7 linked regions of the Xenopus tropicalis genome follow. The protein of the gene in region 1 interacts with the protein of each later gene in a pairwise test. Links are inferred from orthologs where the notes say so. Each region holds a gene or a part of one and is shown in the gene's direction. Other genes may lie near its edges. The genes, in order: pin1, meox2, dab1, supt5h, zbtb9, cnksr1 and thap7.

Region 1 (4,136 bases):
TCTCATGCTCTACCGACTGAGCTAGCCGGGCACTTGTGAAACTTTCCATTTACCACTACAGCCCCTCTGTAATGTACTATCATCCCAGTTCTCTTGTAAAAATCCGCCTACAGTTTCAGTGAGCATGCAAAGCTGCCATACATGATCTCGTCACACAATAAAATATCACTAACTATCATCTTTATTTTATTCTATATTATATATAAAGCTGGCAAGCTTTTTTTTAATAATGGCTGCTGTTATAAAAACGATTGAGCAATAAAATAAAGGGCTGTTGTTACAATTAAGCAAAACACACTTTCCCTGACCGGGAATCGAACCCGGGCCGCGGCGGTGAGAGCGCCGAATCCTAACCACTAGACCACCAGGGAAGGTTGTATGTGAAATTGCCAGATTTATTTTTCCAAATCGCCAGTCAGTTCTAAAACCAGTGAAATACTAGTCCAAACCCACTTTGAAAGTAACCCAAAAATAGCCCAATGTGCAATGAAAAAAATTCTACAAAAATAAAAGTACATATGGGAAAACCTGCCTTTTTAAAGCATATAATCACTACCCAGTTACTGGAATGGCTGATAATTCCCTGCCCTCTGTGCCCAGTCCAGCTGGGAAGTCGCTACAGAAATAGATTCAGAATCTTGCATTAACCCCAGACTTATAAATATGGGTGCGTTCAACTACAACTCTCAGCAGCCCCAAGATAACTACAGACCTGCCCCCACATCACATACCCTATAGAGCAGGGAGCAGAACATACAGGTTGAGCCTGAAAGAGCAAAAAGGAATAGAAAACGGAGCCTCTGGCTAAACTGCCCAATTGCAAGCTGGGTATTGTAGTTTTATATTACTCCTAGTTGTAGGCTAATTGTTAGCTACAAACTACATTACCCAGCATGCAGTGGAACAAGCACACTAGGGGAAAAAACTGGCTAGGTTCCAAACTACAAACCCGCCAAGGCTCCAAAAACTAGTCCAAAACGGTACTTTGGCGGGTTTGTAATTTAAAAACAAACCAGGGCTTTAAATTAGTAGCCCAATTTGGCAGAAAAACCGCTAACCTGCCACCCATGCTTGTGAGAGCAATTTTAATGCGTAAGAATAGAGAGAGACGCGAACACATTTCTGCGCATGCGTCATACTGCTGCCAATGCGTACAACCTCTCAGCCCCGCCCCTTGTTTTATTAATTACTCCGTTTATTCCGTTACAGCCAATAGTGGGCGCATATCATTTCCCGCCCTTGCTTTCGGTTTTCAGGCTGACTACGTCGTCGGCAGATTAGTTAGCTTAATGGCTAAAAGCTTAGCAGGGACTTAACCAATGAGAAGCGCCGAGCTGACGGAGTGGTTTGTGTAGGCGGGGCTTGGCCTGACGCAGGAGGGAAAGATGGCGGACGAGGAGAAGCTACCGCCCGGGTGGGAGAAGCGCATGAGTCGAAGCTCGGGTATATGGAGTGTAGCGGGCACAGTTGTTATATAGAGTTAGTGCAGCGCTGGTTTGCTTTGTAGCTGTTCCTATTTTATTGTGTCTTGCACTGTGCATAGCGTCCTGATAAAGGTGCTGTTGCAAAGCTGCAGAACTACAATTCCCACTTTGCATTGCGCATTATAGTATTTAGTCGCCTGTAAACAGACTAAGAAATGCTAAGCATTGACTGCTTCTGCTACTGTATGGGGCCATGACTGGTGCCCTAGTATCTGCACCTATCTGTTCAGTGTCATTTGTGTCAGAGTTCGATCTGTTCCTGCTTAGATGCTGATGTGTCTGTGATTAACATGGTGCCTTGTGGCTATGTATTGTATGTATCCTGCTCGGGAATGGTCTTCAGTCAGGAGCCAAGCAGGCAAGGCCCTTCAGAGATCCTTAGTGGGGCCTAAATTAGTACAGTGGCCCCTGGGAAAGGGCCGTGGTATAGTAGGGAGAGATGGTGCCTATAGTAGCAGTGGGGGGATAATAGCCTCTGGGAAGGGACTGGGGCTGTGGGATAGCAGGTATAGTAGGGAGAGATGGTGCCTATAGTAGCAGTGGGGGGTAATAGCCTCTGGGAAGGGACTGGGGCTGTGGGATAGCAGGTATAGTAGGGAGAGATGGTGCCTATAGTAGCAGTGGGGCGATAATAGCCTCTGGGAAGGGACTGGGGCTGTGGGATAGCAGGTATAGTAGGGAGAGATGGTGCCTATAGTAGCAGTGGGGGGGATAATAGACTCTGGGAAGGGACTGGGGCTGTGGGATAGCAGGTATAGTAGGGAGAGATGGTGCCTATAGTAGCAGTGGGGGGGTAATAGCCTCTGGGAAGGGACTGGGGCTGTGGGATAGCAGGTATAGTAGGGAGAGATGGTGCCTATAGTAGCAGTGGGGGGGTAATAGCCTCTGGGAAGGGACTGGGGCTGTGGGATAGCAGGTATAGTAGGGAGAGATGGTGCCTATAGTAGCAGTGGGGGGGGTAATAGCCTCTGGGAAGGGACTGGGGCTGTGGGATAGCAGGTATAGTAGGGAGAGAGAGCCTCTGGGAAGGGACTGGGGCTGTGGGATAGCAGGTATAGTAGGGAGAGAGAGCCTCTGGGAAGGGACTGGGGCTGTGGGATAGCAGGTATAGTAGGGAGAGATGGTGCCTATAGTAGCAGTGGGGGGATAATAGCCTCTGGAAAGGGACTGGGGCTGTGGGATAGCAGGTATAGTAGGGAGAGAGAGCCTCTGGGAAGGGACTGGGGCTGTGGGATAGCAGGTATAGTAGGGAGAGACGGTGCCTATAGTAGCAGTGGGATAATAGCCTCTGGGAAGGGACTGGGGCTGTGGGATAGCAGGAATAGTAGGGAGAGATGGTGCTTATAGTAGCAGTGGGGGGATAATAGCCTCTGGGAAGGGACTGTGGCTGTGGGATAGCAGGTATAGTAGGGAGAGATGGTGCCTATAGTAGCAGTGGGATAATAGCCTCTGGGAAGGGACTGGGGCTGTGGGATAGCAGGAATAGTAGGGAGAGATGGTGCTTATAGTAGCAGTGGGGGGATAATAGCCTCTGGGAAGGGACTGTGGCTGTGGGATAGCAGGTATAGTAGGGAGAGATGGTGCCTATAGTAGCAGTGGGGGATAATAGCCTCTGGGAAGGGACTGGGGCTGTGGGATAGCAGATATAGTAGGGAGAGAGAGCCTCTGGGAAGGGACTGGGGCTGTGGGATAGCAGGTATAGTAGGGAGAGATGGTGCCTATAGTAGCAGTGGGATAATAGCCTCTGGGAAGGGACTGGGGCTGTGGGATAGCAGGAATAGTAGGGAGAGATGGTGCTTATAGTAGCAGTGGGGGGATAATAGCCTCTGGGAAGGGACTGTGGCTGTGGGATAGCAGGTATAGTAGGGAGAGATGGTGCCTATAGTAGCAGTGGGGGGATAATAGCCTCTGGGAAGGGGCTGTGGGATAGCAGGTATAGTAGGGAGAGATGGTGCCTATAGTAGCAGTGGGGGGGGGGGATAATAGCCTCTGGGAAGGGACTGGGGCTGTGGGATAGCAGGTATAGTAGGGAGAGATGGTGCCTATAGTAGCAGTGGGGGGATAATAGCCTCTGGGAAGGGACTGGGGCTGTGGGATAGCAGGTATAGTAGGGAGAGATGGTGCCTATAGTAGCAGTGGGGGGATAATAGCCTCTGGGAAGGGACTGGGGCTGTGGGATAGCAGGTATAGTAGGGAGAGATGGTGCCTATAGTAGCGGTGGGGGGATAATAGTAGGGAGAGATCGTTTGCAGCTTATTGGCCCATGTACAGTGCTGCATTCATAAGTAGCACTATTTACAAAAAAATTATACATAAATGCATGTATGGTGACGAGAACTGAATTAGTGCGTTTATGTTGTCCTTGACTAATGGGTCTGCATAGGGCCATTTTAGAATCTGCTTTTTATTGGCCCAGAAGCCAGTCAATCTGAACAATCCGATCTGGCTCAGATCAAATGAGCAGATATGTTAATGTATGAGTAACGCTATGCTATGAATTCTCCTGCTTTTTTTTTTATACCCAGTTATGGCTGCTTGTGAGTATAGACGTAAGCAGGGAATAAATGTTCTTTTGACATAGCAAACTTTGGCTTTACTTTACTGCCTGTGTACTAGATACTCTTGCTGTACTTTATAATCAATATAGCTGTC
Region 2 (4,044 bases), on another chromosome or scaffold:
TATACAGGTGGATTGTATAGTCTTTTACAGACAGTGAATTGCTTAAATGGGATCTCTTATCCAGAAACCCATTATACAGAATGCTCTGAATGATGAGAAGGCCACCTCTCATAGACTGCACTTTAAGCAAATAATTCTAATTTTTAAAAGTGATTTATTCATTCTCTGTAATAATCAAACAGTGCCTTGTACTTGATGGTACCTAAGCTGTGTGAATCCATATTGGAAGCAAAACAATCCTTTTGGATTTATTTGACATTTAAATGATTTTTAGCAGGCTTGAGGTGTGGAGATTCAAATTACAGAAAGATCCCTTATCTGGAAAACCTCAAATCCCAAGCATTTTAGATAAAAGATTCTATGCTGGTACAACAAACTAGGCTTCTGTGCCATAGGTGAAGGGGTTAATGAGTATTTATGCTGATGAATAGAACAATATTGTGTTACTGTGCAGTAAGCAGTACCTGGAGCAGATTTTAGGGACAAACATCTGAAAAACACAGGTGTGACTTTTAGTTGGGAAAACACACATGTTTCCTATTTACTAAGAGGATGTTACATCTTCCTATTTCTGAAAACAATTTGAGGAGAACATTACTCAGGTTCTGCGTTACTCTCGCCAAAAGAGAACAATGTATACTGCTTACTTCCCGCTGTATAAAACTGCACATATATGTCCTATGTTGGTAAAAAGTTATAACCTAGTGCAGCTGGCAGGGGATTCTGGGAGTTATAGATTCAGTAACAGTAGGTTAATGGTGCCTTAGTTAAAGCTATTTATATTGTATCACATTCACTACACAGAACACTAAAAAAGAAATAAAATGGCATGTATTGCTTGGCATGGCACAATACTTTCCAATTGATTTCTTACGGTAGAATGAGCTTTTTGTCATTGTGTCAGTATATGAATTACTAAGACCTGCGTGCAGTTTCTCTATATCCATATTAGCAATGGGCAGAACCGGTTTAAGTTGTACATAGACAGTGCAGTGATGCTGTCGCAACTTGGAAGGATCTGTGAGTGCTAAAGTTTTGGAGAGAGTTTGTGGTCAGTACTGTGTTGCTAAGCCAGCCCCCAGCTCACATTACACACTATTTATATCCTCTCTTAGCTGTTCCCCCATTAAAGCAGCTCCTTGGGACCACCTTCTGTTGGCTTTAACCTCTCCTACTCTTGACATCTGAGCAGCTCTGCAAAAGCTCATCTTGGTCAGAGCAAACTGTTTAAGCACAGGAGACTGGCCACCAGGCTGAAGACCTGGATTATCTGATCTGTACTGAAAGTGTGCCGTTACTGTTTGGGAAAAATATCATTTTACAGTGAAAAGTGACAGCGTTGTGGAGTTTAATCCTGCCAGAATCTCAAGCCTGCAACTTGAAACTTGTATGCCATGGAACACACACTGTTTGGCTGCCTGCGCAGCCCCCATGCCACCTCTCAGGGCTTACACCCCTTTGCCCAGTCTTCTCTTGCCCTCCATGGAAGATCCGACCACATGTCCTATCCTGATTTATCCTCTTCTTCGTCCTCTTGCATATTAACTGGCTATCCCAATGAGGAGGGCATGTTTGGGAGCCAGCATCACAGAGGACATCATCACCATCATCACCATCATCATCATCACCAGCAACAACAGCACCAGACCTTGCAATCAAATTGGCACATTCCTCAGATGTCATCTCCTCCTGCCTCCACCAGACATAGCCTTTGCCTTCAGCAGGAATCTGGACCTCCAGATCTAAGTGGCAGCCCCTCTATTTTGTGTTCAAACACATCCAGCCTGGGCACTAACAGCTCAACGGGTGCAGCTTGTGTGACAGGGGACTATGGCAGACAGACCCTCTCCCCGGCAGAAGCAGAAAAGAGGACTGGCAAAAGAAAAAGTGACAGTTCAGGTAAGGATATTTGTGTTTACAATGTCTGAGCATGCAGCAAAAAGGAAATATATATTAGCTGGTAATTGTGATGCCTTGTATTGGATTAGCACTGCATTGCAGAAAGTGGCACAGCAGTGGTGCAAACCTAAGCAACTGTATGCCTAGGATATGCCATTAGCATCCATGCATACGGCAGCTTCTTCTGACAGTTCAAATTGAGCAGAGAGGGGTTTTTCTGTTGCTCAAAGCTTTGTGTTCGTACTCACTGGCAAATGCATTTAGCAGTGTAAAAAGTACTAGTTAGACACTTGCTAACTAGCATGTATACAATATTTCAGACATGTGCAGCTTGCTAACACTATAGGAATGTTATAAACGCTATGCAAGACATATTATAAGTAAAAAGTTTCTATTTAAACAGGAAATACTTGTATATTACATTACAATACGAACGGGCAGAAATAGTTCCCTCTTTTCAAGTCTTTCCTGGTGTATTCCTATGTAACAATCCTGTCAGTGTCAAAAGAATATCAAATTCCTTTAATAAGCAAGATTGAATCCAAGTATCATTTTTTCATTTGAAATTACAATCTATTTATTGACACAATCCTTCAGAAACCCGTGCTGCACTCCATCCTTATTCAGCCTGATCCAGTATCACTGCAGTATTATAACAAGAAATGGAGATCACTTGTTGACTCCTGTTTCTCTCAGCAGCCAAACTATTACAAATGCAATTTTATGGCAGATAAAAAGACAATTGGCACATTTAGACTGCCCATTCCCCCTTCCTGCAGGAATAAAATAGAGAGATTTCATCCCAGGGAGGGCAGCCTTTTTTGCCCGTCCCAGCAACTGCAGAAAGGTGTTAATTATATTATCAGCTAACACCTCCTCTGGGAAAGCCATATACACAGTCTGCATCAAATTAAGAGTTTAATTAACAAAGTGCAAAGTGATGGGTAATATTTGCTTTAATTCAGTCACATAAGCCACTTCAGTGAAATCAGTTCTTTTGAGCCTATTACATCACTTTCACTGATCAGAATCTCTGGCAGACCATAATAATATATACATTTTTAATCCGCTGCATATCAATAGTGATATGAATAACTACCAATCAATATCTAGAACTGAAAAAGTCAAATGATTCATAACAGACACCTTCCGTCATACCTGAAATACCCCAAACAGACATGAACACTAAAATCCTCTTTTCCATTTCCATTTAAAATGGCAAATTCTAGTAAAAGAAATACAATATACGTGATACTTGCATATCAGTAGCATAAGAAATGAACATAGTATATCACACTGAATATAAACATAACTGAAATATGTATTATATGTTCCAGTTCATTGGTGATTTCGATGCTTATCATATATATATTTATATATATAAAGTGGAGTAGCTTTATCCTGCTATTAGATGATGGCGAGAGATAAGTGCAACTATATTAACTCACTAATCAGACAAGTGGTCAGTGGAATAAGTGAAAGCGAAGTCATAATTGGAGATGACCTGCTTACCATTCCTAATTAAGTCTTATGAGATATTCTGATTGGGATGAATGGTTATTCAATAATTATAAGACATGAATGACAAATGAGTAATTCGTGACATATGTTTGACCTTATTTTTTCTTCCAGGCTTGGGGCTTTAAACAAGACAACTTTTCAAAAGTTATTATTCCAGTGTTTAATTAGTCTGTCTAGGCTTGCAATGCTTTTAAACCTCTCCCCCCCCTTCTGTTTTGTCTGTTTAGGGAAGATAACATTGGCAAGCGTTTAAAGAAAATAAATTACCAGGAAATCTATACCTAATCACAGAGCAAAAATGACAAACTAGCTTCATTAACCACGGTGTATCCAATAACTGGGTCCTGGCGAATTTGAGAAACTGCTGTTCTTTCTTTTAGAGTCACTTCACAAACAATTGTTTTAAGGGCATTTGGTTTCTGGAGAAATGAAAGGATGGCTTTGTGAAACAGTATACCTATCCAAATTATACAATCTAGAGTCAAAGTTAATGGCCCGGACCGTGTCCTATCCATTATATGTGCATATTTCGACATAGAAAAATCTAAACTATGGGCGTCTAGGGGTTGCTGAACTGCAATCATCAGCCTTTAGCCTTAGGCTGTGACGAGAATGCTGTAGTTT
Region 3 (3,500 bases), on another chromosome or scaffold:
ATTTTACTAAGGGGGTTATTTATTGTTTTTTTACAATTAATGTTTTCTTTAGTCCAAAAAACTATTCATTTGATTTATGATTTAAAAAGCTTGAATTTATGATATTCATAAAGCAAAAAAAAAAAGTGTGAAAGTCTTGAATGTAAAACTTCAGCATCTGAAAGCTTGCAAGGTCACGTAGAAGTCAGTGAGAGCTGTCCTAGAGAAAATGTAACCTATACAGCCAGTTCTAGTTTTTTGAGTTTTTCCAATTTGAAAATTTGAGGTATTTTCTATTATTCGATTGCATTTTTAAAAAATTCAAGGTTATTTGATGTAAAAATAATATGAAAATTACACAGATAGGAATTTTTATAAATAACACCCAATGAATCACGAGAAATCAAAAGAGAACAAGTGGTGATAAAAGTGCCCCTATGTGTTGTACAGGCATACAGCAAAAACTCTTCCTACTTATACTTCAAAAGAGAAATTATTTTTAGTCTACTGTTATCCTTTTTTATTCTGAGCGATAATAAATTATATATCCATAACCATGCCTAAATATGCATTATTTGTCTTTTTCTCCCATCTCAGCACATTTTGTGCCAGTATGCTTTATTATGATCAACAGTTCCATGCAAACTAGACTTCTTTCTGTAGAGGAAATTGCTTAAAAATGACAGCTCTGCTTTATTATATTACCATACTAAAATAGTGTTACCAGGAATAATGCTTTTGGATTTTATTTTCTTAAAGGTCAGAGCTGGAAGAGTTCATTTCAAATATCCATCTATTTAAAGCCTCTGCAATTACTTATATACTTTAAGATGCCTTTATCACCACTCATCTTCTGAGCTCTGCTTATTCTAATGAATATATCTAGAGAGAAAGGAAGTTAAGACATTGGTCTGTATATGGGGCCACAATAATTCTTTTTCCTGACTGAAATCCATTCAGAATCATGCATATTTTTGTGAGACTGCGAGTTAAATAGTTGGTTAAGGACACAGTTAGCCCATTTACATACTAGGCAGTGTAAACTGGTTTCCTTAATTTAAAAAAAAAAGATCCCATTAGGCTCATTGTTATTGCAGTCTATTTAAAACATTAATAAGTAAACAATTATAAAAGAAAAAGATACAAAAATAACTTTTTTTGGGAATAGGTGGACTGGTTTCCAAAACACATCTGTCCAATTATGTGTTAGTAGTAAGTAGTAAGTAAAACATAAAATTAACACATTGTTATATTGTCTGTGCTGAGCAAGAGATGAGGAGAATAAGCAGTTAGGCTAATATCATATGAGGCTGTTTCTCTGTCTTCGTAAAAACCCAGCTGATACGCACTCATTCGCTCCTTGCGATAAGTGCACTGACATGAACTGGCTTAGTCTGTATAAACATGGATTGTATTTCAAGGTATAAATGTGAATTATACATTTTCACACTAAAATTGCATCTTGTGTGTGCACACAGGCCAGGGCAGCAGAGAAACAGCCTCATGTGATTTTAACCCTAGAGATGCTGTAGGTTGTCCCTAGAGTCAGTGGAGCTAATAAACTAATGACCAATGATCAATTCGCTTTGATTGGTTAAGTGTAGAATTTAAGACAAATGCCTTTTGTAGTTTTACTTGCCTAAGTTTTACCCTAAACTGAAATGCTGGTCCTTCCCATACACTTTTGTGGTATGGCTAAAATATGAGTTATAACTTTACAGCAAGCAAAATGTACTATTATTCGGTCTGTGCAGACTTTCTAGATTATATTACACTGTGTTTGACTCCTAGAGCACATTTCACTGGTATAAGTCAAGAAAGTTTTTCCAAGTATATTCATCTCAAGCCCCCATGGAAGCTGTGTTTTCATACCTTACCTCTTGATTAATCACCATCTCATGAAAGTTTGATTTACATGCAAAATCTAGCATTTCAGTAAGCACATGATAATATTTAAGATTCAACTCTTATTTACAATAACATTCTTCCTCTTTCAAAGGCATTTAAGATGAAAATCTTACCGGGAACTAATTTCAAATATTGTCCTTCAATTGTAGGCAGAGCCAGTCATTTTGGATTTGAGAGATTTATTTCAGCTTATCTATGAGCTGAAGCAGAGGGAAGAAATTGAGAAAAAGGCACAAAAAGATAAGCAATGTGAACAAGCTGTATATCAGGTATCTATTCAGCCTTGGCTTTGGTTTTTGGAAATGTCAACAGGCAAACTGATCAACCTTGGAAAAATATATTTTAGTTTATATGTGAAACCAAAGGAGTTGTATTGCAAAGTCCATTGAAGATACAAAATGGTTTAAAACTTACTCAGCTTTTGGGATTTGGGATTCAGTTTGGAAAGATGTTTTTATATAGGCCAATAGACCATATATAGTTTGCATTTCTCCATACAATATTACATTTAGTACTAGGTGTAATATACAGTACGCTCACATAACTTTGTGTTATTGACAGTTCACTGTAGGATATACCTAATCTCTTGCCCTAAAACTGTTGTTGTACTATAAAAACCATCAACAATGTCTTGTAATTCTGGGAGATGTAGTATACCAACAATCGAAGGGCACATTTCAACTTTATAATATAATACTAAATGTGGTGAAACATCAGACACCTCACTCCCTAATTGTAGAGTTCATACCTTTTTGCTTTGTGTCCCTTTCCCTGCTTACCTTACTTCAGACAATTTTGGAAGAAGATGTAGAAGATCCTGTTTACCAGGTAACATCTCCATCCATAGACCACCCATAAACTAGACTCATTTCATTATGTCTTATAGCATTCAGCAAAACTAATGTTATTTAATAAACCATCATATTTTGTAGTGCTATAGAGATGAGGTAGGAAGCCTAATTTATAAAGAATCAAATTAGCAATCTTTACTACTTTACACACTTTGCCAATTACTATTGATTAGAATTTCATATTTTCAAAGCTTCAAAACCATATCAGAGTCATTGCTGATAGATAGATAGATAGATAGATAGATAGATAGATAGATAGATAGATAGATGGATAGACAGACAGAAAGAAAACAGAAGAAAAACATTAATTGATTGGAAATAAATTTTGCCATTTCCCAAATTTATTGGTGAAGCAAAACAGGGCAGTTTAGCTCATCACTAGTAATAAGAACTTAAGCACCTTGTCATTCCACATGAAGAGCATTATCCTCATGTTTTAAATAAATAGTTCTACAAAATAAAGTGTTTCTGCAAATGTGTATACATACATGTAAAAAAAAAAAATTTTTTTGGTTGCTTTTAGTGATCACCAATTTTTTTTTAACCAGGCATGGTTTTGTGGGGAAATTCCAAATTTCAGATGAGCCCCCAAGAAGGGCGAAACCGGTCTGTAGTTGGGAATCTGATCAGCTATTGTCCTGGCTTCAGCTTCAAACCCAGTGGGTGAGCTTTAGCCTATAGGATAAACCCATGTAAATGGGATTTTTTTAAGAGTTTGGAGTTCACTCCCAGAATTCCTTTTGTTAACATTAGGTGAAAAAA
Region 4 (3,500 bases), on another chromosome or scaffold:
CAGCTCACTTATTTAAACCAGGATACACATGAAATACTCATTCTGCTTGGTAAATCTACCGATAATGTCAACGCATGCTACAGTCTACAGTGGATATTGATCTGAATTTAATTGACAGTTTGTTTGAAGTATGAGAAGTTTATATCTGGTTTTGGTTCTCTCAGCATCTTTTTACCTACAAAGTGGCTAATTTTTTTTTTCTATATGCACAGCCATGCAGATCCCATTGATGCATGTTACTGCACACAGAGTGGTTGTGGTCCATATCAGCATTTTATGTGTATGAATTGGGTGTCGATGTTGGTTTATGCTCAGTGCGGAGTGCCTCATACAGTTGTACTTTACTTGTTCCACTTTTCTCATGCAGATAGGAGAAGAACGAGCTACAGCTATTGCTCTGATGCGCAAATTTATCGCCTACCAATTCACTGATACAGTAAGTGAGACCAGCTTTGATTTTTCCCTATTTCCATATCCATTTCTATTTTATGGCCATTTTCCTTTTTTAGCCCCTTCTTTATGCTCTATTTAGAGACCTCACCATATGTAGGGTTGTCTACTTGATGACAATGTTAGAATTATCCTTACATATAAGATAACATGTGGCCACCACATTCTTGCTTTATTCTTCCTGTGTATTCTCTGTTTTTCCAATCCTTAAACTTCTCTCTAACATATTATTCTCATGCTTTAGCCCCTTCAGATAAAGTCAGTAGTTGCTCCAGAGCATGTGAAGGGTTACATCTATGTGGAGGCTTACAAACAAACCCACGTAAAGCAGGCCATTGAAGGCATTGGCAACCTGCGTATGGGCTTCTGGAATCAGCAAATGGTACCCATTAAGGAAATGACAGATGTCCTGAAAGTTGTGAAGGAGGTGACCAATCTCAAGCCCAAATCTTGGGTGAGGCTCAAGAGAGGCATCTACAAGGATGACATAGCCCAGGTACGTGCTACATAAAGTAGGAGGAGCTGCTGAAAAAAAAAGCCATGGTTGGTATTATCCTACAAGTCATTGTGATCATTATGATCAAAAAGCAGCTCCTTCACATCTCAAGTCTATAGTAGAAAGCATACTAAAGCGAGTATGTTGGACCTATTTTGAACAGTTGGTCTTCATTTTTTTTTAATGGTTTTACATTTATTAGACTTCGTATTCTGCTCTTTTTTTAGCCTGATGTATATAAATAAAAAAAAGTTATATAATAAAAAAAGTTGTTTGTATTTTTTTTGAGAGCTGCGTAACAAAAAAATACAAAAAACTTTATATAACTTTATAGATGTAAAGGAAAAGGTTTTTACTGATTTATCCAGCATTCCCATGTCAAGCCTTGCAATGGAGGAAAGCGCATTTAAATGAATATTCTCTCACTTCATTAGGTTGATTATGTAGAGCCAAGCCAGAACACCATCTCCTTGAAAATGATTCCTCGAATTGACTATGATCGTATCAAAGCACGTATGAGTCTGGTAAGTTAGTCAGGCCTTCTTTTCTTTCCATAAACTGATTTGATTGCCTTTTCATTAACATTGTGTTAAAATACCTTAATAAGCCTTCTGATTAAAAGATTATGATGTAAGCATTCATTGACAGGTAAGACAAATTCAGGATCGTATTTTAATTGTACAATACAGATGACTTTTGTAAAGCTGTATATGTTGGACATAAATATATTTTCCCTTGCCATTGAGCAAGATACACAAGCAGAATATCTAGAAAATAATATAACTGGCATTAGAGACCAACCTCCTACACCAGTAGGAGTAACTTTGAGATTTGAGAAACCCTTGTTTGTTTAGTATCCGCACCGTTAGCCAACTTGTAACATTTTCAATGCTTAGGCTTTTCATCTATTCTTCCTGTTGAATCCCTCCACTCACCTAGTTTTTTTTTCATACTAATCACCTTTTATTTCCTCTAGACTTGTCATCTGCTTACTTTTTCCCCCTTTTTCCCATTCTTGGCTTAATCACGAAAACACCCTGAAGATTACTTGGTTACTTACATTAAGCCTTTGTCCTGGGTAGTCCCTTTTTCAATAATGCAGGGAATAAGAATTAATTATGAGTTTTACCAAATGTAACCTCCTTCAGCTCCCTCTTCTGTATACCAGTTGACTTTGTTTTCCCTCCTCATAAACAAACCTTTTAATTTTTGTTACTACTGTATTATAAGACACTGTCCTCTAAAGCTATTAAATGTACCTTGTGCATTCTATGAAGCTGTCTTTCTTCCCCCCTTCCGCCCAATTTACAGAAAGATTGGTTTGCCAAGAGAAAGAAGTTTCGGAGACCACCCCAAAAACATTTTAATGCTGAAAAAATCAGGTGAGTTCATGGTGATAATGGTTAATATGAAGCAGAAATCACCCCACCTTTACGTTTCACTATAACAGTATGACTTTCCTGCTTTTTTATAACAGGTCTCTGGGTGGAGATGTCTCATCTGATGGAGATTTTCTTATTTTTGAGGGTAATCGATACAGCCGCAAAGGTTTCCTATTTAAAAGCTTTGCCATGTCTGCCGTTGTAAGTATTCTAGTTCTATGAATTTAGCTCCAGCCAAGAGAGTGTGAGTGTGTTTGTGTGTATTTTATATAGAGAGGTCAGTTGATTGCAGACGAGTTGAAATAGATTAACATGGATAGCACTACCACAGATAGCAAACGTTTAGGTGCATCACAAAAATCTTTGCATGATTCTTTTATTCATTTTATTGTGCAGAAAAAGGGAAAGGAAAGGGCATCTTTTCTAGAGACTCCACTCCCTCTGTAAACCAATAATCATTTCACACCTTCTTCAACATTTAAAACACCACAGGTCACGTGACCTATCACACATGCTTGAGTAAATTGTTTTTCATATTAAAGTATTTTTATATATTTGTTTTTGTAAACACCAGATCACAGAAGGTGTTAAACCTACCCTCTCAGAATTAGAAAAGTTTGAGGATCAGCCAGAGGGAGTTGATTTGGAAGTGGTGACTGAAGCAACAGGTAATGATCTCTCAAACAGTAGAATGTAATACTTTGCTAAAGATTTTGTAGACCTCACTTCTCACATTACTAATTCAAAGGCTGTAGTCCTGCTCAATGATTGGTAAATACACCTACTGCTGATGAATGCCATGGTATATGTACATGTATGCTGCTCTTTCTCTGAACAGGCAAAGAGAGAGAACACAGCTTGCAGCCAGGGGACAACGTGGAGGTGTGCGAAGGGGAGTTGATAAACTTACAAGGAAAAATTCTTAGTGTGGATGGAAACAAAATCACAATTATGCCTAAACATGAAGACCTTAAGGTATGATGTACTTTTTGTGAAGCAAAGTCCATGTTTATTATCACAGAAACCCTGACTTATAGGCTGATGCCACACTGGAGGCTGAGAATCAGCCTTCTTTGCCTTCACCCAGGAATCTTTGCTTCGTCCCAGGTGCAGACATGGGGTGTATATCGGCTCTGAAACACAAACTCTTGTGGTTCAGCGCTGTAAATTTA
Region 5 (4,176 bases), on another chromosome or scaffold:
CATGCTGCCTAGAGATTTGTATCCGCAACTGTCAGAACAATAAAAGAGAAGGGAGAATTGAACTGAATTGATATTTTGTAATGAAAGTATATTGGAGGTAGGTTTCTGGAGGTAAGGAGCCTGAAAGGGGATTTTATTTTTGACTTTAGATCCCCTTTAGGATCAGATCCACCTTTTCAGGTCACATATTCCCAGTATTTGTCTGTATATAATTAAAAAAGTCTCTTCTCACATACCATTTTTCTTGACTGTGTCATATGATATAGTTGTGTCAGTAAATAAAAAAATATTTTTAACAAAGAAGTATCATATATATGTAATTGCAGGGGCTAAGTATCAGTGTCAGAATGAGATGCCAGGTGCACACTGCCAAAACTTTAATTCCTCCTCTCCTCCTTCAAACTCTTTATTATCCTAGTCTCTTTTCTCTACATACTAACGTTTATTCATCCATTTACCAAGCTTCCATGTTCCCATCCAGAAATAGGCTAAATAGTTAGAAGCAAGAGGGCCCACTGACACCTGGGCCCACAGGGAGTTTCCCTGGTATCCTGGTGGGCCAGTCTGGGACTGGTAGGTATAATTAAATATGAACTTTGGACAGTGGATGCTTGCATTGTTGTACCAGTGCAACTTTGCCTCAAAAATGTGTCCAGAAGGGGGAAGGGGGGGCCTGCTGCATGCCCTGCACCTGGGCCTGGGGAGGTATAGTTCCGCTACTGTTTGGAAGCATAAATCAGTTTGGTGTAATGATCTCTTGTACCTGTTATCAGTGTTGGACTGGAATACCAGGGGCCCACCAGAAAACCTTAGAACATGGGCCCACTCTCCAAAATATTATTCTCCTATTACATGCTAGCATCTATTTTTCCATCTATTATTTGTATTTGTTCCCATTCAGAAATAGGGAATGACCATGAAACAGGCCAAATGGTTTGGAGCAGGAGGGCCTACTGACCCCTGGGCCCACCGGGAGTTTCCCTGGTATCCTGGTGGGTCAGTCTGACACTGCCTGTTATAAACTTAAAATATACCAGAGAATGCATATCACCACATAATTTCACATTTAAATATTCCTTTTTATCTGTACTTCTTCTATTTGCTCCAGCTCCCTATTTTGGTCCATCACACTAAAACGAATCATTTATTAGTTCTTTGACCTGGTTAGTAATTTGTATTGGATAATGTATGTGAAAGCAGGCTACTCAGCCTGGAGCTTTGCAGGCAATAGTAACATAGTGCTGTGAGAGGCAGATCACTTGGCACACCACACAGCTATAACCCTCTATGGAGCAGTTTGTATCATAGCCACGGTTTATTACAGCACATTCATACTACTTGTGCTTGTGGTAGGTTCCTAAAGGAAAGAGCGCAATATATCCCCCTTCTGGTCTCCAGGGGTAACTACAGGTGTGAGCGGCGCTCTGAGACAAGGGGTAAGGTAATGTTCGTCCATGTGATACAGGCCCGGATGTTTCCTAGCTCGTTTTCCCGGGGATAGCGCCTACTTGTCCCTCCTCCTTACTCTCGTAGAGATGTGACTACGGAGTCCCAGGGTTGGTTATACTTGTCCCTGACCGCGTTTTGCATGGCTCCAATTTGATGGTTTCCCAGGGTTACACACGTTTGTCCCGCGTCTGGCCTCCACGGGCCTGGCTATGTTTGTCCTGCCGCTGGTGCAGTGACGGGCTGCTGTATTTAGGGAGCTTCAGGGGAGCAGGGAAGTAATACGGTATGTTTCAGGGGTGGGGTTTATAGCGCCTTTGTGAGCAGTGCACTTATCAGAACTCACAAACCTGTGTCTAGTCTGTGGCCTTCTAGCTAGTTTGGGACTACAGTTCCCAGCATCCTTCACATACAGCCGAACTACAGCGGTAGAGTCACTATTTACAGTAACGGACACCAGTAGCAACTATGTACCATAAGGCCACAGGCTGTATTGATTGGGTAATGGGTGTGTGGGCCTGGCTGGGAAGGGAACAGGTTATCGGATAGCATTTTGTTATATGTACTTGTATTTTGGGCCTTATTGCTCCTTGTCCTCCCTCAGCCCTGTCCCACTGCCTGATCGCTAGGGGAGACTAAGGTACAAGCTCGCAGGGGGACACATAATAATGGGACACATAGCCCAGTAAGGAATGAGGGATAACTGGGGCAGTGCTGGGCATCACTTTCCTACCATCACTCCTGCCATGTAAATGGCTGCTAACAGATATGGAATTGGCTGCCCTTTATATGTTATAATGTTTCTCTGATGCAGATACATGAAATCCATCATTAGCTGTGACCAAACAAAGCCTCACACGGGATATTGTGTTCAGGGGAGACAGTATGTAGCCATGACAGGTGCTTAAACCAGTGATTTCAGGCAGATATTTTAGTATGTGAGTGACTTTGGGCATTTTAAACATGTTTCTTCGGCTGATAAAAAATATGTGGTGATCAAAGTGCAGAAAACATGCCTTTTTTGAAGGGTGAGCGCTTACGAGAGCCTGAGGATTGTCCAGCAGACAGTCACACTGTTCTACCTGGTGCCCAGCACTCTATATACTGAGCTTTTACATAAGTGCAGTGATGCCAAAGTAAAGACGGCTTGTGGGCACATAGCAGGGACTATTTCTCTGCACCTTGCTCAGAAAAACTGTTATACATTTGCAGCCCTGCACTGGTAATTTATTTAAAGAAGTAAAAGTGTATACAGTCCCTAATGTTGTGGCCCAGGCTTTTGGGTGTCTTGTAAAAATCTTATTTATAGTCTGATTATCAAGAGAGCTTGTTGGGTTGCAGCATATACACAAATATCCCTGGTGAAGCCTCCTTGGTTGTTTAAAGATGTTGCATCATTGACAACCCTGCATATTAGACTTAGGTACAATTATAATATTAGCTAGGCTTGTGCTCTCCAAAAATGTTTATTAATTCTGAAAAGTATAACTATAAACACCAATATTACTCCATGTGATATCTACACCAGGGGACAGGAGCCTAGTGTGGTACTACATGCCTGTCAGTGCCTGGCAGGATGGATCTTGTCATGAAAATGCTTGTGTGCACACAGACAGGAAGATGTCTTTCTGTCAGCCAGGGTTTGAGTAGATTGTCTTATTCTCTAAAAGAAAAAAACCCTGGTGTAGCATTAATTGTATAGTTTCATTTTTTAATGGGAAAAAGCAGTAGTTGCAGTATTAAACAGAGGGTTATTTTAGTGTATTGTATAGGTGCATTGACTCCAAAAATGAATAAATAAAAAAGTTGCCCTGCATGTTTCATGCCTTTCATGAACACTACGACGTAGTGCCCTTGAGCAGTATGAAACCATTTGCACTGTATCAATTTACTTCTAAAATATTTAAAATATTTTTTTGTATTTTGGAATTCTTGCATCCTGTTCCAAAATAAGGTAGCCACACGTAAAGATGGCCACATGTGCCAGATTCAGCTGCCCATATCAGTCCCTTAGAGCGATTCAGCAGCTTATTTGCCAGTGTATAGGCACCATCGACAGGCCTTCCCAAACGGCATCTGACCTGAACCAGTGGCACCTATGCCTGCCATTTTAATTTGATTGTTTGGCCCTAGTAAGTGGGCATATCGGGAAAAGATCCTCTTGCTTTATGACATTGACAAGCAAGCAGACCTTACAGTGTATGGCTACCTTTACGAAACACAGTTTTGTGAAGGTAAACTACCACTTGAAGTCTGCCCCCCAGTGCATGTATGTATATATATAATATATTATATCAAATTATTCTTTATTTAGCGCCAACATATTCCATAACTATCCACACCTGTCCCTGCCCTAGCGGAGCTTACAACTTAAGGTGCATATAGCATTCACACACGATCATTTTTCGATCAGAAGCCATTTATGATAAATGTTTTTTCAGTGTGGGAGGAAACACAATCATTGATAACGCATTAAAACTCATAGTACCCTCACTGGAATCAAACCTATTACCCCAGCACTCCAAGAAAGCAATGCTAACAGTTACACCACTGGTTCTTCATCAAGTACATGCATTTTGTCACTGTGCACCCCTTTATACTATACAGCCTTTTTTTACATAACAATTTCAGTATGATCTGACAAATTATTGAATTATCGTATGGGTGGTGTGCACCCAACAATCGTACATCTGCTGTTCTTTCCTCCGACATTGGTCAGAGAATTGATCG
Region 6 (3,500 bases), on another chromosome or scaffold:
TTTAAATAAGTGGCAACATATTCTGCAGTGCTGTACAATAAATGTGTATATACATTGAACATAAAGATTCAATACAAACAAAATACAACCAATAACCTATGCAAAAGGTAGAGAGAGCCCTATCCAAAGGAGCTTACTACTTAAAGTGAAAAAGATGTTTACATTAGAATGCATTTGTTTATGTGCATCTATCTGTGTGATGACAATTAGTGTTTTAATTAATAGTAATAAAAATGTAAACACTTATTAATAATTAATCATTATAGTCAATTAATAAGTGTTCATAATTTAAGTACATGTTATACATACAGACAGACATACATACATATGCAACATAAAGCTGTCATTACATCCATGTTATCATTTTATTGCAGGGTATAGAAATAAAGTCTACATCATTGGGGCAGCACTTTGTCTGCGGAACAACAGCAGAGGTCAGTTGATTCAGGATCAGAAATTTTGTATTTCTGTATAAATGTTTTTTGTCCCAATAGAAAACACTTTCATAATATATCGCAGATCGTTTAGTGTTAGGTTCAGTTAAGATGTTCATACATCCATCATTATCTTGGGTAATTTTACAGTCTTCTATATCTTTGCAAGGGTAGCAATCTGGAGTGCCATTTGCTTTTTTGTGGTAGCAATCTGGATAAAACCATAGGTAGCAGATGTTGCTTTAAAACATATTCTTTTGAATGCTTTTTATCTTTGAAGATAAAAAGCAATTTGGAGGCAAACTAATGTTATTTGTAGAAAAAAAAATCAGATGATAAAATCAGTAGTCTTCTGCAAGAGGGTAAACAAAGCCACACAAGGAAAGCATCCAGGGGTAGGGGTCATTCAAATCACATGTCGTTTTGTCAGAATGGGAGAAGATCAGACTGGTTGCAATAAAACTCTAAGTTGCTAAAGGTGGCCATACACGGGCCCATTCTAGTTGCCGATATCGGCCCCTTAGACCGATTCGGCAGCTTATCGGGCCATGTAGAGGCAGCAACGATGGGCCTGTCCGACCGACATCTGGCCTGTATCGTCCAGATATCGATTGGGCAGGTTAAAAAATTCAGTCGGATCAGGGACCGCATCGGCTCGTTGAAGTGGTCCCTGAACCGACTGCGCCTATTACTGTCGCTATAATTTGATCGTTTGGCCCCAAGGCCAAACGACCTAATTAGCCTTAATTACTCTGATATCGCCCACCCATAGGTGGGGATATCGGGAGAAGATCCGCTCGCTTGGCGACCTCGATGTGTATGGCCACCTTAAGTCACTGATAGCTGTTCAGGAGAAAACTGGATTTTCATGCATTAGAAGATGGTGGCTTCCAAACTTGTTGTGCAACACTCTTCATGCTGTGCCATTATAGGGGGCCCTGTACAGCAAGTAGCATAAAGCAAACATCTTAGTGGTTGTTAATGTTTATTTGCTCCTGATCAAAAGTGCATTTTATTACTTATGTGTGTGAGTAGGGTTGATATCTGCTATCCAAGAATTTAAGCAGGTTCTAAAAGAAAAAAGTTAAAGCTGGCCAACCCCTCAGATTCTAATATCCATGTACTATGGGTATATGTTTGTTCACTAATTAAACGATTTTTTTTAAAGATGTGGGAATAAGCTGCCAATGCATGGTGCATTAGCAGCTTATTCCCACATTTTTAGCAGTCTTTATAGAACCATTTCCTTGTTTCTTTTAGCTGCATTTCTCCTTAGCTCATTTCTTCCTATCTTCATATGATCTTTCTCACAGTATCATTCATACTTATTCTATCTTAGTCACAAGCAATTCTGGCAGGCCTACTCTGTGTCAGTCTTGTACTCAATTTACAAAGTTTTTTTTATTCTTCACATACTATACCTAGGCTCCAGCTGGAAGAAGTGGCAAGATCTTCCCAGGAGATGAGATAATAAAAGTAAATGATCAGGTTGTGGTAAGTGATTTTATCTCATATGTATGCTGCAAAAGAATTGAGCCTTATACGTGCATTTATTGGATTGCAATATGTTTCCATTCTGTGTGAAAAGCTTTGTGGTGGTAAACATGTGGCTGAATTTGGTGTTCTGTGAAATACCTCTTTTATGCATGGCAAATGTAAATAAATCTGTAGTTCTCAAATGAGAATTCTACTGGTATTTCCTTTGAGATTTTGTACATACAAATAAACAGCTTATGGTATATAAAAGGTGGAGAGAAGTGTTGCAATCCTATTTTCTACACCATGCTTGAAAATTAACAATCTTTTATTTATTTATTTATTTATTTACATTTATTGAAATATAATATATTGTAAAAGGGAAGTATACAGTTTGAATTATTTGCTTTATTGGAGTGAGCTAATCATCATAAAAAAACAGATGCAAACTTTTGTAAATCTAAATGGCAGTAACTTTCCGACAGCTACACTGAAAGCAATGATTAAATTAATTTTGTTTGGCATATAGACTGTAAGGGCAACGTTTAAATATTCCACACCGTTGTAACTGTTCTGCCTGTCCCTACTCCCCAAAATAAACAGTGCAGATGCATTGCCAGTGCATTTGAGGGGGTTTAGCGATGAAGATTTCTGTGCACTACTTTTACAAAATGATCAACTTGGATCACTTGTGTACATACTGCCTTGTTCCTTTTGCTGCTATTACTGTTACTTTTGAATCAGCACCAAAGACATGAGAAGTTCACACTAATGTTCTGAATCATATTAATGTAAAGAACATTAAAATTAATGCGTATGTGAATAAATTAAAATGCTCTTTATAAGATGTTGTACATTACTTGTAACACCTACATATAAAGCTGGAGAACATATGAAAGATAATTACAGGATCTTAAATTATGCTGAAACAAATGATATCTAATCATTTTGTTATATTTTTGATTTTATTTTTCTAAATGATTGTTTTCTTGCTTAGGTTGGTTGGACACGCAAGAACCTTGTCTACAAACTTCAAGAGAAAACAGACTGTGTAACACTTGTCCTCAAGAAAGTTTCCATTCCCTCTACTTCTGTATCTCCTACTTCTCCCACATACTTTATTCAGCACTCCAGCAAAACCACATTAACTGCACACAGTGAGCCATCATTACCAAAGGCTGAAATTACACCTGTAGCAGCAGCCAGGCAATCCCCCAGTCATCTGATACTGGCTTTGCGCAAAAGTACTGAGACGCGCACCACACGTAGTGCACCAGTCACCCCAACAAAGGACACTCCTTCAGTATTAAACTTGAACAGTGTTAGCACATCACCAGTATTTTCAGATAAATTCTCCTTTACTAATAAACACAACACTGATATTAGTCAAAATCAGGATAGTTCTCAACAGAACTCGGACACCATTTTATCTGCAAACTGTCCTTGGTCTCCAACATTCTGGGAATCTACTTCAGTCTTCCCCTTGTCACCCTTATCTCCAGAAAATTTTGATCAAAAAACCAAGGAGACAAAGGCTTTACCCATTACAGAGGCTGACACATTACAGGTAGATTCATTAACTTCTTCTAT
Region 7 (3,500 bases), on another chromosome or scaffold:
TTATGAATTGGATTTCTTTTATATGTCTTTTCAAGGCTTCCAAGAAAAGATGATCCCCGCAGAAATCTTTGGATAGCAAACTGCCAGCGGACTGATCCTAGTGGCAAAGGTCTTTGGGATCCTTCTTCTGACTATGTATACTTCTGTTCTAAACACTTTGAGAAAAGCTGTTTTGAAGTTGTTGGAACAAGGTAAGTGAGACTTAAATTTCCTTTCAGACATATGATTTTAAAAGTACGTCCAACACCCCAGCACCAAAATGTTAGGCACCCCCCCCCCCCTGTGATTGTAATCACTTTCCCTAGGTCGGTTCTCCTGTTAGCAGAAACCTGCATAAGTTGGGGGTACCTGCAAATGAGTTATCCACTTCTGTCTTTGTGCTGTAGAGTGAAAAGCTGAACTTTAACAAACAAACCCGTCTTTTCACTGTACTGTGCATACGTAGGCCCCAAGATTGCGAAGAAAAAAGACAGGAGGAAAAGCATCACTCACACACAGTTTTCTGCTGAAAGGGGCACAGGCCTGTAGTACAGGTATGGGACCTGTTATCCAGAATATTCGGGACCTGGGGTTTTCCGGATGGGGTTTTTCTGTAATTTGGATCTCCATACTATAAGTCTGCTAAAAATAATTTAAATATTGAATAAACCCAGTAGGATTGTTTCATTATATCTTAGATGGGATCAAGTACAAGGTACTTTTTTCATTATTACAGAGAAAAAAGGAATCCTTTTTAAAAATTAGAATTATTTGCTTATAATGGAGTCAATGGGAGATAGCCTTTCCGTAATTCAAAACTTTCTGGATAACGGGTTTCCGGATAAGAGATCCTATACCTGTATCAGGTAAGTGATTATAATCACTGGGGGGTGCCTAACATTTGACACCCTCAGTGATTTTACCTTTCCTTCTCCTTTAAAAAAAGCTTTTTGCTTGGCATTCTGCATTGCGGCTTGGTCTTTTTGTGACTTGTGGATAGTTTTTTGCTCAGCAGCAGGTCAAATGTTCAAGTTCCAATACATTCGGGACACCACATAAATGTTTCTCTGCAGACTAATACATTGTCAAAGATTTTACTGTATTAATGACATAGCCAACTGGCACAGCAGGCAATTCAGTGCAGGGAGATTTCCCTGCAAGTATTGTTATCATACAGTGATTTGTGGGTAAAGTTCATTGCAGGTACTTAACATAGGGGCTCACCACCAAAGCATTGTATGTTATCAGTTCATCATAACTGCAAGGGAATCTCCCTGCATTGAATTACCTTATTGTGCCAAAAAAGGTTTCAGGTATTCTTTTAAAGGACTATTAAGAACGTTATTTTGACTGCACTGAGTAAATATGTTTGCGTTAAAGGTATTGTAGCATTGATTTTCATTTGTCTCCTAGTGGTTACCATCGTCTCAAAGAAGACGCTGTCCCAACATTATTCATGTCCTCGGCCAAGCTTCGGAGAGCATCAAAGCTTAAAACACAAAAAAGGAAAAATGCAAAGAACACAAAAGGGAAACGGAAAAGGTAATGAAATATACGGCTAAGGGGTGTGTGTTTGTTTTTTCTTACTGGCGGCCATCTACTGGATTAAAGAAGAAATTTGCCTGGAGAGTAACATTTATTAAAGAACTAGTAAACCCTTTTTCTGTCTCTAAAATGACTCTAAATAGTGCCCAGAATATCATACCTTTTCTTCCTGCAGTCACATGTAAATTCTGTTCCACAAGCAGATAAACTTTGACTCTTCAGCTACTTCCTAGTCTAGCATGAAGCTCTCCTTCACTCTCTGACTGTGTAGATGGTCGAAGAGGTTTCTACTCCTCTTGCTTGCTGACTTAGGCATGTGCTATAGACACCTATTTGATAGTCTTCACAGTCATAGAGAGGAGAGCTCAGCAAAGGGGACAGTGCTTAACGCTACACTAGGAAGTAGCAGTGAGAGCTGAAGTTGAACTGCTTGTGATACAGAATCTCCATGAAATGGAGTGCAGGGAGTAATGTATGTTATTCTGTAGGCTGTATGAAATCTTTTTAGGGGCTTTTATGATAAAAGGCTTACTTATTCTTTGTTCTGAATTCACACTTTTCAGTTGGTCTTCTTTTTCGTTTTACCACATTTTGTTTTTAAATTATTTGCTTTCCAGATTTCCTCTCCCCAACTTGCACAGCAAAAAGATGTCTTGTTGCCAAGATTAGTGGCGAAAACATGGTATAAGAGGCTAGATTTAATTTATTTTTTTTCCTGTTCATCTTCTATTTTGACTTCTGCACCACTGGCTGGTTTCTAGTGTAAGTGGGGGCTACAGCATTCAAATAACAGTTTAACATTGGACCTGGACTCTGGCAAAGCAAATATTTAAAGGGGAACTATTTTGAAAATGAAATTTAATATAAGCTTCATCTAATAGAAACAGAAAAAGACATTTGTAATACGTTGTCTAGGCAAAGGCAACAGACACCAATGTATTTTGACTTGCATGAAACAGATTGCTACGAGGGGAATAATGAATAGAAATGTGATTTTGAGACAAGAACTTTAAGCTGATTTTATATATCACAAAAGCCTTATTTCTATAAGATTAGGCTTAACTTAAGTTTTCCTTTTCACAATAGTTCCATCTTTTAAATAATTCAAGGTCAGTAAATCAAGGAGTAAGTTTCTCAGTGCTGTCATGGCTTTCATGAGTCTCTCAACACAGACACATGAATAACAGTTACAGGGTGATGAGAGGGAACCCACATACAGTATAGACAGTGGATTTAGTATCAGAAACAGAATCTCTAGGAAAAGAGGGGAGTTTCTAAAAATTCTTATTCACTGCTTCAGCTCCTATGTAGATAAAGCTTTTATCTCTTATTACCTTTTCTAATACAGTATTTTTTTCATTTATATGGGTTTCTGACTTTTTTTTGCAGGAATCTTCCTTTACATATTGATCCAAGTCTGTCAGGTAACCCTGATGAATCTACTGCAGAATGTTTTGATCATAAAAGGTATGATGGAGTCCCTGCTCAAGACTTGGTTAACTTCCATGGACTCTGCCCTGAAAATATAGATCTTCCAACTGATACAGCTCCGGCAGAAGGAGCTGTGGCCACCACAGTTGACCAAATGCACCCAGAGGGCACTTTAGAAGATATGGAAGTTTCTGCTGTTATTAATGGGCCTATCTCAGACTGTAGCATGGAGTTATCTAGTGCAAGAGATAAAATGGCTTCAGATATGTCAATGCACTCAGTGGAAAGTTCCAGAGAAAGGGATGACGAACCTTCCTGTCCTGTCTCTCCATCAGCTTACATGATGCGCCTACCTCAGCCTCCTGGTGCCTACATCCAAAATGAGCACAGCTATCATGTGGGCAATGCCCTTCTTTGGAAGAGACGGGCTGAATCTGCATTGGAGGCTCTAGGTAAAGTACAGAGGCAGCTGGAAGCATGCAGGCGTAGAGAGCAGCGACTGCGACTTCGCATCTCTGCTCTGCAACAGGAACATTTGCGAGAAA

Evidence for each region.
Region 2: the proteins of pin1 (region 1) and meox2 interact in binary tests that used the Homo sapiens proteins (3 or more experiments, as listed by UniProt). The two-hybrid records come from large-scale screens. The link is inferred for Xenopus tropicalis from reciprocal best matches to the Homo sapiens genes PIN1 and MEOX2.
Region 3: the proteins of pin1 (region 1) and dab1 interact in binary tests that used the Homo sapiens proteins (3 or more experiments, as listed by UniProt). The two-hybrid records come from large-scale screens. The link is inferred for Xenopus tropicalis from reciprocal best matches to the Homo sapiens genes PIN1 and DAB1.
Region 4: the proteins of pin1 (region 1) and supt5h interact in binary tests that used the Homo sapiens proteins (3 or more experiments, as listed by UniProt). The link is inferred for Xenopus tropicalis from reciprocal best matches to the Homo sapiens genes PIN1 and SUPT5H.
Region 5: the proteins of pin1 (region 1) and zbtb9 interact in binary tests that used the Homo sapiens proteins (3 or more experiments, as listed by UniProt). The two-hybrid records come from large-scale screens. The link is inferred for Xenopus tropicalis from reciprocal best matches to the Homo sapiens genes PIN1 and ZBTB9.
Region 6: the proteins of pin1 (region 1) and cnksr1 interact in binary tests that used the Homo sapiens proteins (3 or more experiments, as listed by UniProt). The two-hybrid records come from large-scale screens. The link is inferred for Xenopus tropicalis from reciprocal best matches to the Homo sapiens genes PIN1 and CNKSR1.
Region 7: the proteins of pin1 (region 1) and thap7 interact in binary tests that used the Homo sapiens proteins (3 or more experiments, as listed by UniProt). The two-hybrid records come from large-scale screens. The link is inferred for Xenopus tropicalis from reciprocal best matches to the Homo sapiens genes PIN1 and THAP7.

What each region holds. Positions count from the first base shown.
Region 1 is NC_030679.2:136,780,425-136,784,560, reverse strand, and holds the start of pin1 (peptidyl-prolyl cis-trans isomerase NIMA-interacting 1), read left to right. Parts: upstream 1-1,336; 5' UTR 1,337-1,385; coding exon 1,386-1,443; exon of another isoform or gene 1,444-1,479; intron 1,480-4,136. UniProt on the Homo sapiens protein: Peptidyl-prolyl cis/trans isomerase (PPIase) that binds to and isomerizes specific phosphorylated Ser/Thr-Pro (pSer/Thr-Pro) motifs.
Region 2 is NC_030682.2:36,891,089-36,895,132, reverse strand, and holds the start of meox2 (homeobox protein MOX-2), read left to right. Parts: upstream 1-1,244; 5' UTR 1,245-1,394; coding exon 1,395-1,899; intron 1,900-4,044. UniProt on the Homo sapiens protein: Mesodermal transcription factor that plays a key role in somitogenesis and somitogenesis and limb muscle differentiation. Required during limb development for normal appendicular muscle formation and for the normal regulation of myogenic genes.
Region 3 is NC_030680.2:87,414,939-87,418,438, forward strand, and holds part of dab1 (disabled homolog 1), read left to right. Parts: intron 1-2,036; coding exon 2,037-2,156; intron 2,157-2,676; coding exon of another isoform or gene 2,677-2,715; intron 2,716-3,500. UniProt on the Homo sapiens protein: Signaling adapter of the reelin-mediated signaling pathway, which regulates the migration and differentiation of postmitotic neurons during brain development.
Region 4 is NC_030684.2:81,692,723-81,696,222, forward strand, and holds part of supt5h (transcription elongation factor SPT5), read left to right. Parts: intron 1-367; coding exon 368-436; intron 437-694; coding exon 695-946; intron 947-1,380; coding exon 1,381-1,470; intron 1,471-2,257; coding exon 2,258-2,328; intron 2,329-2,423; coding exon 2,424-2,529; intron 2,530-2,902; coding exon 2,903-2,996; intron 2,997-3,166; coding exon 3,167-3,303; intron 3,304-3,500. UniProt on the Homo sapiens protein: Component of the DRB sensitivity-inducing factor complex (DSIF complex), which regulates mRNA processing and transcription elongation by RNA polymerase II.
Region 5 is NC_030684.2:71,795,640-71,799,815, reverse strand, and holds the start of zbtb9 (zinc finger and BTB domain-containing protein 9), read left to right. Parts: upstream 1-1,376; 5' UTR 1,377-1,436; intron 1,437-1,459; exon of another isoform or gene 1,460-1,556; intron 1,557-1,562; exon of another isoform or gene 1,563-1,732; intron 1,733-4,176. UniProt on the Homo sapiens protein: May be involved in transcriptional regulation.
Region 6 is NC_030678.2:76,989,685-76,993,184, forward strand, and holds part of cnksr1 (connector enhancer of kinase suppressor of ras 1), read left to right. Parts: intron 1-374; coding exon 375-434; intron 435-1,859; coding exon 1,860-1,928; intron 1,929-2,907; coding exon 2,908-3,477; intron 3,478-3,500. UniProt on the Homo sapiens protein: May function as an adapter protein or regulator of Ras signaling pathways.
Region 7 is NC_030683.2:102,973,938-102,977,437, forward strand, and holds part of thap7 (THAP domain-containing protein 7), read left to right. Parts: intron 1-35; coding exon 36-191; intron 192-1,392; coding exon 1,393-1,521; intron 1,522-2,913; coding exon 2,914-3,500. UniProt on the Homo sapiens protein: Chromatin-associated, histone tail-binding protein that represses transcription via recruitment of HDAC3 and nuclear hormone receptor corepressors.